3 linked regions of the Tribolium castaneum genome follow. The protein of the gene in region 3 purifies or fractionates together with the protein of the main gene of each other region. This does not show direct contact. Links are inferred from orthologs where the notes say so. Each region holds a gene or a part of one and is shown on either strand. Other genes may lie near its edges. The genes, in order: Atac2, Sgf29 and transcriptional adapter 2-alpha.

The links.
Region 1: the proteins of transcriptional adapter 2-alpha (region 3) and Atac2 purify together in Drosophila melanogaster (affinity purification with mass spectrometry; 3 studies listed by BioGRID, with this or other methods). This does not show direct contact. The link is inferred for Tribolium castaneum from reciprocal best matches to the Drosophila melanogaster genes Ada2a and Atac2.
Region 2: the proteins of transcriptional adapter 2-alpha (region 3) and Sgf29 purify together in Drosophila melanogaster (affinity purification with mass spectrometry, with the first as the bait; 3 studies listed by BioGRID). This does not show direct contact. The link is inferred for Tribolium castaneum from reciprocal best matches to the Drosophila melanogaster genes Ada2a and Sgf29.

The regions. Positions count from the first base shown.
Region 1 is NC_087396.1:22,635,424-22,639,177, forward strand, and holds the start of Atac2 (cysteine-rich protein 2-binding protein), read left to right. Parts: upstream 1-1,573; 5' UTR 1,574-1,642; coding exon 1,643-1,863; intron 1,864-1,916; coding exon 1,917-2,054; intron 2,055-2,105; coding exon 2,106-2,257; intron 2,258-2,309; coding exon 2,310-2,491; intron 2,492-2,538; coding exon 2,539-2,606; intron 2,607-2,651; coding exon 2,652-2,839; intron 2,840-3,104; coding exon 3,105-3,398; exon of another isoform or gene 3,399-3,443; coding exon 3,444-3,625; exon of another isoform or gene 3,626-3,677; coding exon 3,678-3,754. Other genes in the region: serine/threonine-protein phosphatase 2A regulatory subunit B'' subunit gamma, read left to right, coding at 165-210, 259-1,526.
Region 2 is NC_087396.1:14,033,098-14,036,819, forward strand, and holds Sgf29 (SAGA-associated factor 29), read right to left. Parts: upstream 2,952-3,722; 5' UTR 2,674-2,951; intron 2,625-2,673; 5' UTR 2,522-2,624; coding exon 2,351-2,521; intron 1,896-2,350; coding exon 1,376-1,895; intron 526-1,375; coding exon 341-525; 3' UTR 254-340; downstream 1-253. UniProt on the Drosophila melanogaster protein: Component of both the SAGA and CHAT histone acetyltransferase complexes, which both predominantly acetylate histone H3.
Region 3 is NC_087398.1:11,844,726-11,848,479, forward strand, and holds the start of transcriptional adapter 2-alpha, read right to left. Parts: upstream 2,597-3,754; 5' UTR 2,516-2,596; coding exon 2,455-2,515; intron 2,412-2,454; coding exon 1,559-2,411; intron 1-1,558. Other genes in the region: rhodanese domain-containing protein CG4456, read left to right, coding at 2,868-2,870, 2,926-3,357. UniProt on the Drosophila melanogaster protein: Component of the histone acetyltransferase (HAT) complex ATAC; predominantly involved in acetylation of histone H4, including at Lys-6 (H4K5ac) and Lys-13 (H4K12ac).

The sequences.
Region 1 (3,754 bases), on a different chromosome or scaffold from region 3:
CTCACCCCACATAACGCATTTATTCGATTTTTGGCGCAATTATCATAAAAATTGTATAACAAGGCCTCCAAACCCAAAATGTGGTGACCTTAGCCACCACCCGCCATTTTTTCAAATTGTCACAATCACAAGTTCACGGTTAGGTTTATTTTTTTGCGGACAAAATGGATTTAAAAACACTACTGCGGGAAAAAATAACGAAAAGTGGAGGTAAAAATTAATTCATTTAGTTAAAATTTCGACTGGTAATTTTGCCAGGTGCGAAAAAGTCGCCCCCCGAGTTGGAGCAACAAGAAGACGAGTACTTCCAACACTACATGAAGCAATATTGTGACAAACCACCGAACGAAACCACGGGCATTCCGCGTTTTTACAATAAATTACCGAAAGAAGATGAGCCCCTAAGGCAAAAACTGCGCGAGGAGAGCCGCTCCAATTTACTGAAACGTAAAAGTCAAAACTTGTTGGATAACAACGAATTGAAGGAACTGTGGGTGATTTTGGACCAGAACCAGAGCTACCCCGAGGAACAGTTGATAACGTACTCCGATTATCAGAAGGTGGTCACGCTGGTGGGGCCCAAAGTCAAGCCCTACTTCACTTCGGTCGTGTTTGCGAAGCTCCAACAGGGTGACCCCCAGGGCAGAGTCTCGATCATGTCGCTTTTTAACTACGTGATGCGTAAAGTGTGGCTACAGCAGACCAGGATCGGGTTATCGCTGTATGATAGTACGGGACAGGGTTACTTGACTGAAATCGACTTGGAGAATTATATCACTGAGTTGTTGCCAACTTTGCCGCAACTTGAGGGACTGGAAAAGTCGTTTTATAGTTTTTACGTGTGTACGGCCGTTCGGAAATTTCTGTTTTTCCTCGATGGAGTGCGTGCGGGTCGTGTGCGGATTTTAGACATTTTAGCTTGTTCGTTCCTTGATGATTTACTCGAATTGAGGGACGAGGAGTTGAGTAAAGAGGTGCAGGAACAAAATTGGTTTAGTGCCCCTTCAACGTTACGTATTTACGGACATTATCTAAATCTTGACCGTGATCACAACGGAATGTTGAATAAATCTGAACTTGCGGGTTATGGCTCTGGGACTTTAACGCAGCCCTTTCTAGACCGCGTTTTTCAAACGCTTTTGACTTATTCCGGTGAAATGGACTACAAAACTTATCTAGATCTAGTACTAGCTTTGGAAAATCGTGCCGAACCACAAGCTCTTGCTTTTTTGTTCCGCATCTTAGACATAAATAATCAAGGCTACTTGGACTCTTTCACTTTAAATTATTTTTTCCGAGCGATTCAGGAGCAGATGAGGGCCCATGGGGCCGAAGCTGTGTCCTTTGAGGACGTTAAAGACGAACTGTTTGACATGGTCAGGCCTAAAGATCCGGAAAAAATCACCCTGAATGATTTAATCGCCTGTGGGCAAGGGGACACTTTTGTCAGTATTTTAATCGAGTTTCACCGCTTTTGGGCCTACGAGAATCGAGAGGCCGTCACGGCGGAGCCCTCCCAAGACTGATGTTACAATAAATGCAATTTTACATAATTTTCGTCCATTTTTTTCAAAAACCCGCCATTATGGACGTCAATCACGTGACAATAATCTCGAAGTGAGGTTGTGTTTACAATCCAAAAATGAGCGAAACTTGCAAAATCTGTAAATATTGCACAAATAAATTGGAAGATTGTCTCGACGAAGGCCTAACGTGCAGTTCATGTTCGCAAAGTGTTCATTTGCGGTGTCTCAAAAGTGGTTGTGTGCCTGGGGGGCTTCACGGCGATATTTTTTTCACATTCACTTGTGAGGAATGTTCGGAGGCCGGGTCCGAGTCGTTTGTTAGGGAGAAAATGTCTTGGTAATTAGAAATGTAGTAGGTATTTAGGGCGTTCCGTGGACGAGTTCTTTTAGGTTAAAAGTATTAGTTTTGGCTTTGTATCATTTGCAGTCACGAAGTCCGGGTTTGGGGCGCAAGGGGTACTTCCATTGGAGGAACCACATAGCGTCACTAATCGACAAAAACTGGGAGAGTCTGTTTTTGAAGGATTTGTAAGTTCCAACATTTGATTATCACATATTTGTAATTGTTGGTTTTTGTAGTAAAAAGAAAAAAAAATGGGTTGGGACCGTTGCTGGGACTTTATCGCACTTCAGTACGTATTTTTTCAAGTCGGGGACTTCGGTCGTTAATGAACCGGCTTGGTGGGCCCTCACCTACCCCAAACTCACCCCTAACGTAATTTCAAATTTATGTAATTGAGTGAAATAATAATTAAAAAATCAGGAGTGAAAGTATAATTCCAGATGCTGCTCTCACGAACGAGAAGCAAAAAACGAAAATTTTAAAAATATCAGTCTCAGACACTGAATTATTCACACAAATTTTACACAAAAACATCAAAGACGATGATTTGCTAACGCCTTTATTCACTGTCGATGTTCCCAACTTTTCGGAAAAAAATCCAGACGATGAAACCAATAAAAAGGTACAATTTGTTACGTTTTGAACTTACAAATCATCCATTGTTTGTAGATTACTAAAAACTTTACCGTAAATAAAAGAAAAAGTCTTTTACCAACATTTGAGAGCACGTCCAAAAAGTAAGTTTTTCTGTTCAAAGTCACAACATAACAATGCAATTCTAGACTCTTAAAAATGAATAAAAACTCGCCGGTTTTTTCAAACTTAGGTGATGAATTAACGCCAACTTATCTCAAACAAAACGAGCGAAATTTGGGCGAAGCTCAGCCACGTAATAAGCCCCCAAGTGAGCAAAATAAGGAGTCTGTGAAATTGCTCGACCCGTTTTGTCACTACAACACTTGCTTTAGCAGTAAGTCAAGTGAGAGGTGTGCAGGACTAAAGCTAGGAGGCAAGACGAGATTTTTGTAAATATTGTAAAGATTCTGATTTATTGAAAAAGTTGAGAAATTAAGTTAAGTTAAGAAAGGTCATAATTGAATAAAAAAATCTGCCCAAGTACCAATTCCAAAAGGTTATTTTGCGCTTAAAATTTGCTCGATTTTTCGTCATGCCACCAAATATTTTGGTCCCCCATAGTCCCAGGGCTTAAGAATTTACTCCAAAAATAATTTTAGACGCGTTTAGGCAGAAAGGAAGCGAAATGAGAGTCAGGTTGATGGGTGGTATCAGAAAAGAACTAATTCTCTCACCTTACAGCAGCATTTATTTAAAACCTTACATACGAAGAGATACAGAAACTTATCCATCCTGGCTACGCCTAATGGCCGAGATACAAATGAAAGCAAACGAAAAAACACAAAATTACGTTCTACCTCCAAGGGCCCCTATTGACTACACCTACGTCCAACCTGAGCACATACCTGCCATTAACAGTCTCTGCAACAACTTTTTTTGGCCAGGAATCGATCGTAAGTGTCCGAAATGTTACAACACAATTTAATTTTTTGTTGCAGTAACTGAAAGTTTGCAATATCCGGATTTTAGTTGCGTAGTTTTGTACAAAAAATTAATAGTGGCGTTTGCGTTCCTCGTCCCCAATGTTAAATACACCGAAAATTACGTCTCTTTTATTTTTACACGGCCAGGATGGCGAAACGTCGGGATTGGAAAGTTCATGTTGTATCACTTAATCCAAGTAATTGAAAAGTCGATTTTTATTAAACTAGTTGGTTAATTAATTATTTCAGACAAGTCTCGGCAAAGATATCACACTACACGTGTCCATCAACAACCCGGCCTTGTTTTTGTACCAAAAGTTCGGTTT
Region 2 (3,722 bases), on a different chromosome or scaffold from region 3:
ATAATTATGAGTTTCTTTCGTTCATTGGGTGAGAAATTGGTAGTTGTAACGGTTATGAGAATAGTTTTGTTACGGTCTGAACAGTTTCGTTTTTATTTTATAATTTTTAATGTTGCAACATTACAGGTACCTTCAGCCTGTTTTTTTCAGGAGTTCCATTTTTTTAAAAGTTAGATTAGAAAATAACAAAAATGTAAAAAAAATTCATGTACATGTAAAGATGAATAATAAATTGGTGAAATATAACACAAAATGAAAGTTTCTCGAATGTTTACTACCCAATAAATTATTCCATAAAACTTGAAGCTTCAGAATCAGACATAGTGTCTGAAAGATAATGTCAGGCTTGCTTTGTCTTCTGTTTTATGGCAATGACGTAGCGTTGGGCCACATACAGGGGCGGGCTGTAGCCTTCAGGATACGCAGCGTCTTCAAACAAAATCTCATATTCATCAGTATGTGTTGCGGGAGGCTTGTTCACAATGCCTTTATAGAAGCAACTCGTAGTTGGGTATAGAGCCATAACTGAAACGCAAAACCAACATTTTAATTTACGTGGTGTCCGGTTATAACGAACTCAGAAAATGTGTCAAAATCCGTTCGTTATATCCGAGGTCATTAGAAGAGATAAATTAACAAAGAGTGTCTTTTTAGCTGTTATTTTTGCTTTATATCATTTGTCAAATAAGACGAAATAAGAAAGAATTGTAAAAAAACATTAATCCTTTGCGAAAAAGTAATAATTTGATAGTTGTGCAAATATTTTAAGGAATGTGAGTAGAGCTCAAAAGAACTCAACTTGCATTATCCGAATATTTGTGGTTTCTGAATTTTCGTCGGCGATGGCGAATAAATTTAAATTTGGCGAGCAATTTTAAACTTTACTAATAAAAATTTTAAACAAATATGATCTCTGAGGAATCTACTACACTGAGTAAAAATTATTAGCAAAAACAGACACAAAAAAACCACGAGACATCCCATAAAATAATTATAAAAATGTAAAAAATTTACATAGATTTTTTTTGTGCTAACATACCACCGAATGTTTCAACACGTTTGTGACATTCATCGGGCAATAATTCCAGAAATACTAGCCGAAACCCTAATAAGTGTATAATCGTTGGATAGCTCTTAATAATCTGTTTCTTTTTACAAAAAAGACCATTGTTCTGCGATTAACAGTTTTAAAAAAAATCGCAAACAGTGTAAAAAATATATCTTAAAAATTATTAAGAATCTGGTCATTTTCTTGACGCCAAGCGATTTCCCAGAGCATTTTACAAAGACAACTTTAAAATAGTTTCAATTTTCCGAAGAGTTTTGCCATAATCGGTGCTTGAAACAGGAGGAAGTTCGTTGTAACTCCACTTACCGACAGTTCCTTGTGGAAACAAGGCCGTTGGATCAGTCTCGGGATTAGCCCGCATTAGGGGTAACGGTACCACATTTCTCTTGCTCAAAGTATGTCGCCGTTTCTGATTCTGCTCCGCCAAAATATCATCAACTTCGTACTTATTTGAGGCGTGATTATAACTGTACACTTCAGCCAATATCCAGTTTTCGCCATCTCCATCAGGAATTTTAACCAAAGCAGCCACCATATCGCCCACTTTTGCCACATAGCCAGAGTCAGCAGGTGTGGCACCACAGAGAGCAGGAGGTTTTTCGTCTATTTTACCGACGAAAAGGGGCAATGTTTGTGCCGAACTCATTAACATCTTCATCCAAGTGCCCCTACGAATCGATTCTTTGTTTCCAGCATGTCTCGTTTGAATTCTCCGTTCGTTCTTAATGTTGCGGATTTCCGCAATTTTTTGAAGAGCTTGACGGAGCAAATCCTCCTCTTGCTCGGCGTGCGAAATTGAGGACTTGTAGAGGCTCTTTAGCTTCATCTACAATATATAATCATTACAGTAATCATATAAACTCTTATTGAATCGAAACAATGGAATTCTTTAAATTCACGTAAACAAAAATATTTACTTGAAACACAATTGAGCTTTAAAAGGTGGTTCAAAGGCGATTTTTTTTAATTTAGCGTTTCCAGGGCACCGTAAGCCGCCAAAGATCAGAAAAATGTCATCAAAGATCTTAAAAGCCATTGTAATTATTTACGTTTTAACAATTTTAACTGTAAGTTGCAGTGAAATCAGTACTTTTATTTGTAGCATAATTATTAGGTAACGATTGCCGCTGAGAACAAGACCGAGGTAAAGGGACCAAATGTCGTTGACACAAAGAAGAAAACAAATCACACTGATACACACATAAAAATGTTGGCCCCAAATTACTGTTATTTTTTCGGAAAATGCCTCAAAATATTTTGCGAATGCCAGAAAATCCACACCTGATAATGTTGGCTGGACTTCTCGTCTTGCCCATTTTGAAACTTAACAATGTTGTTTATTCCTTGTTCACTCTGTTGGCGTTTCTTCTCAATCTCATGAACCGTGTGATAGAGCGACTTCAAGTGCTCCTGAACTTTTTGCGCTGCGATTGCGTCTGCACTAAAGGGCATTTTAATAGTGCAATTAAAATTCACCGCAGAAATATGGGTTCCTGAAGTGCCTGTCTACAAGCACAACGTGGTACCAGCAAAGCAACACTAAAGTGACGAGTACCTGAAACGCCCAAAATAGAGCAAAAGTATACACTTTAGTAATCACTGACTATTCTACACACGGTTCTAGTGGAAATGTTTATTTCAATTAAATCAAAAAACATTGATTTGACTGTTTGATGCACTGCCAGGGAAAAGGGCACAAGTCGCACTGCGGGGGTAACTTTTATGTATTGTACTTTACAATAAACTACTAATTATGGAAATGGTAATTTTTTATCAAAATAACATGCACGTAATTTAAAATACACTTATTTTTGTTTGCCTGTGCTTGACGTTAGCCGTGCAAATAGACTACTTTTTGAAACACACGACCTAATACATATATTCAATTAAACCTACAAAAAATTCACTAATTAGTAATAATTGTGGAATAAAATGCTTGATAATGTTTTTAACATTGCAACGATAATATCACTAAGTTTCCCTTTTTTTCTATATAAGATAATGTTGTGTTAGGATTACTTATCTCTGTGTTGTCACATTGGAACTACGACGGCCTTGAGGCGCTATTTAAAAAATTGCAACTATTTTTTATTTATTTAATTAAATACGTGTTTGTAAACTTGCTACGAGGTTGTGATTGTGAATTTAATTAGTACTTGCGTCTTTAGATTAAAATGAAAAAAATTATTTGCTTATTAATTATGTAACTAACTAATGATATAGAGGTTTTTAATTTAAATATTTCAGGAAAATTCTGGTTTCAAAACGATTTGGGTCTATCTGAAAATTTATTTCATTAAAAAATATCGTGTTATTTAAATTTAGCGCCGCGCTTGTGCAGAGCGTGATGTTTGTAGACGTTTTAGGAATTGACAGGTAGCACAGAACAGAAAGGGTTAAGAAGTGATAATTCCCTAGTAAATCACTGGCAACACGAGAATCCAGCGCCTCTGGTGCTGAAGTGCGTTACTACCACGGTAAAGTGCCACGTTTGAATAAATTCCTTTTATATTGTTTTTTATTATTTTTATCTTACAAGTTTCATTGCAAATTGTTTAAAATAAAAAAATATATTTTCATTTTAAACAAAATGAAAACGTTTTATATTTATTTTAAACAAAATTTGAAATGAAACTTACAAAAAAAGTTGTTT
Region 3 (3,754 bases):
GTTCGTCAGGCTACAGCTATTTGAAGAATTTTGTCTGTCAAAAATTCTTCAAAGCCTTTTAGTTCGTTTTTAGCTAAAAATTCTCTTTCATATATTTTTATTAACCTTACAATTACACCAAAAATTGTGTTAATGTTGTCGTTTTCGTATCTTTGGGCATGTTTTAAAATAAAAAAAATTGCAAAAACTAACTGAAAATCCACAAATTAAATCGAAATTGTTGTTGTTTACTTTGGATTGGTAAATTTACTACTTATTTAGTTTGGATAATCTTGCCAAAACACGTCTAAAATATTACAACATAATTAGAAAATTCTTATTTTGTGATATTTCGCCAAAAAACATTACTTTGCAATTTCACGTGTTTTAGCATTTTTTTTTAAATTGTGTTTAAAAATGACATAAAAGCATAAACCAGGAGGAGATAACACAAAAGTCGATCGTTTTTCTTGGCCAAAAAATGAGGAGTTTTGTCAATCAATCAAAAAAAGATGTTACTCAAAAAAATCACAAAATTAAGTCAAAACTTTTGCTTTTGCAAGCCGAAGATTTTTAAAGACCAAAATTAATGCTATGTTGCAGCTTTTTGTGAGCCTTTATACATGTTTTAAGGTAAAAATTAAAGTGTTTAAAAATTCTCTAGCTAGAAATTCACAGAATTAAATCTAAATTGGGGTTATTTTAGTTTACTTTGCTCAATTAAGTTCCTTTTTTGAACGAGAAATTTAATTTAATTACTCTGCCTTTTTCGAAAGTTTAGCATTTCTTCAAAAAACGTAATCACCAAATTGTTATTATTATATTATATTTTTAATTATATTTAATATAATAAAATATAAATAATAATAACAATTATATATTATATAAATAAATAAAATAATTAAATATATATGTAATTATATTCTTAACTATCATATTTTAAAGCTCGTTTTTTTAAGGTAAAACGCAATTTTTACTGAAATTTTGCTAAACTTGCTTAAAAAATCTGCTCGAAGATGACAATATTTTACTATTTATGAGATTTATTACCACGTTCATCCATAAAAACACATTTATTTCGCAACATTTGCTCAAAAAGAAGCCAAAAAAATTGCGATTAGAACGAAATTAGCATTATATTTGCTTTTTCGAGTGTTGAAGCGCCGATTTGTTTGAAAAAAATGTTAATTCTGCATTTAGCGAGTGATATAACTTTTTTCGCGAGATTTTTTTAAACCAAAACGGTTCCATTGTAAATAGCTATTTGTGCAACGAGATAGAAAAAGTGAATTCTTTCTGGAAAAAACTTACGAGTTGAACACAATGTTTTGTAAAATTCCGTGAATATTGAAGAGTTTGAGAATTTTTCATCGAATTTTACAAGTGTTTTTTTTTCCAAAATACAAATTGTATTATTTTTCGTCACGCCACTAACTGTTGAAGTATGTTTTAACATTTTTCTTTGTTTTTATTAATCTTTAGTGAACATTTTTTTCTCCGTCGTGTTTTTTTGGAACTCAATAAGCCGCTATTATGGAAAATAACCAACTTTATATTAATTCAACCGTTTGATATGAACCTAAGAATTTGTATTTTGAGTTCGCCGCTGTGGTGTAACCCCTCCATCAACATTTCGAACTGGACAGGAGTACAAAATTGCATAAATCGGATCAGTTTTTCATACACAGGACGTGTAATCGTAACGTCATACCGATGAAGCCAAGCGTAAACTTTCCGCAGAATAATCAATCCGTGTTCTCTTATGATTTTTTTCCACCTTTGGCGCTCCCTCAACCGCCGGTTATAACTCTGAATGATCGCACATTGAAGATTTGTGATCAAGTCAAAATGAGGATCGTCCTTATCAACCGGTTTAAGGTTCGAGAGCAGATCCTCAGCCGACGAATCGAACTCGCATTCGAAATCGGACCTCGCGGGGTTATAACCGGCCAAAGACTTGTACCCCACTGTGTTGGGGGAGTAGCGAGGGGGCTCATCGGTGTCGCTAATCCGCTGTCTGTAGGGCACCACCGGCTCACAAAACCAGTCCCTTTTGCTCGCCTCGGGCAAGTCTTTGGACCCCTTTCTGTCTAAATAAAACCAATCGTAGTGCGCCCTAATCTCCCTCACACTCCGATTTGGGAACTCTTTCGCCACTAAATTCCAGTTCCCGTATTTTTGTAACGACTCTAACAACACCACCTCCTCCCGAGCCGTCCAGTCCGTGTTACCCCAAACCGGAAAATCGTCGCGGATTATGTGATAATCGTGATCGTTCTTGTGCCCCCCAAACTCCGCACCTTTCGAAAAACACAGCGAACAAATATTCACTTTACACAAAGCGCAATAAATGTAAGGCGCGACCAAATCGCACGAACAATTCGAACAAACACTATCAGAGTCACTAGAGTAAAACGCAGGGGGGCCACAGTCTGAAACCTCAGTTGAGAACGAGAAGTAAACAAGGGGGCTCACCTTTGGGAAACTGCAAGTCAGCGGCGTCTTCTTCGGTTAAGTCGGTGTTTGCGTTTGCCATTTTTTCGAAAACTGTTTGGATACCACAAAAACTTAGGTTATGTGCATAGGTTATGTGAGCGGCAAGCGCTGCCTACCTGGCAAAATTTAAAGCACTAGCACTTTACTAGTGCGGTGTTTTTTGACGATTATTTATGAAATTATTATGTAATTCGAACGCAATCGGCATAAAACGTGAAAAAAAAAATAATTGGGGAAAATTTGATTGTAGCCACGGGACCTCTAATTTGTTTTGTGTGAATTGTGTGATACCAACGGTGACTGTAAAAAGTCTCCAAACTGATTTTTGCCAAAACTGTCGTAATTTAATAAAACAGGCGATAAAAAATAGTAAAAATCGCTTTATTGGCGCTATGGTAGTTCACTTTACAAAAACTAATCAATTAAGTTAATTACATAATTATTTTTTAGGTTAGGTTACCAATGTCGCTATCAAGGGGGCCCCAAATCCTCTCCCTTGTGAACAAAACGCCCGTCTTTCTTAGACTTTTCGCAACGCAAATCGCCTCATTTGATGAAGTCAAGTCAGTAAAAACGACTCCTAAGACTCTTCTAATCGATGTCAGGGAGCCCCACGAATTGCAGGAAACCGGAGTTATTCCTGACAGCATCAATATTCCACTTGGCGAAGTCGAGAAAGTGTTAAAAGACATGCCTTCTGAACAATTTCAAAAAACTTACAAAAAGGCTAAACCTGATTCTAGCACCCCCTTAATTTTTTCGTGTCGTTCGGGGAAACGTAGTGCCCTTGCGTCCGAGATTGCGACGAAGTTGGGGTTCAAAGATATAAAGAATTATTCCGGGGGGTGGCTAGAGTGGGAGGAAAAAAGTAAAAATATTTGAGTTGTAAATAAATAATACGTTATATGAGTGTAGGGGTTGTAGTTTGATTTGGATTTAGGTAGTGCCGTATTTACTTATTTACTGCGGCACAAAAGTGATAAACATGGAATGTTAAAAAATAAGTCAAAAAGAGTTTGCAATCTACAAATCTCGTCAAAAATTTTTTGAATGATAACACCTTTTGAAAGGCCTGATCACCATAAGTCAAAAATACTCACAAAAGCAAAACCAAATAATAATTTTGCATGTGTTTTGCCCTGAAGTGGATATTAGATACGATTTCTTCATTTGTTGATGTTAGGAGCATCCAGCGCCAATGTGGACACAAACACTTATTGCAAAAAAACATCAGCGCCGTTTTGAAAACAACATTTACCTACTCCATGACCCCCTTCCG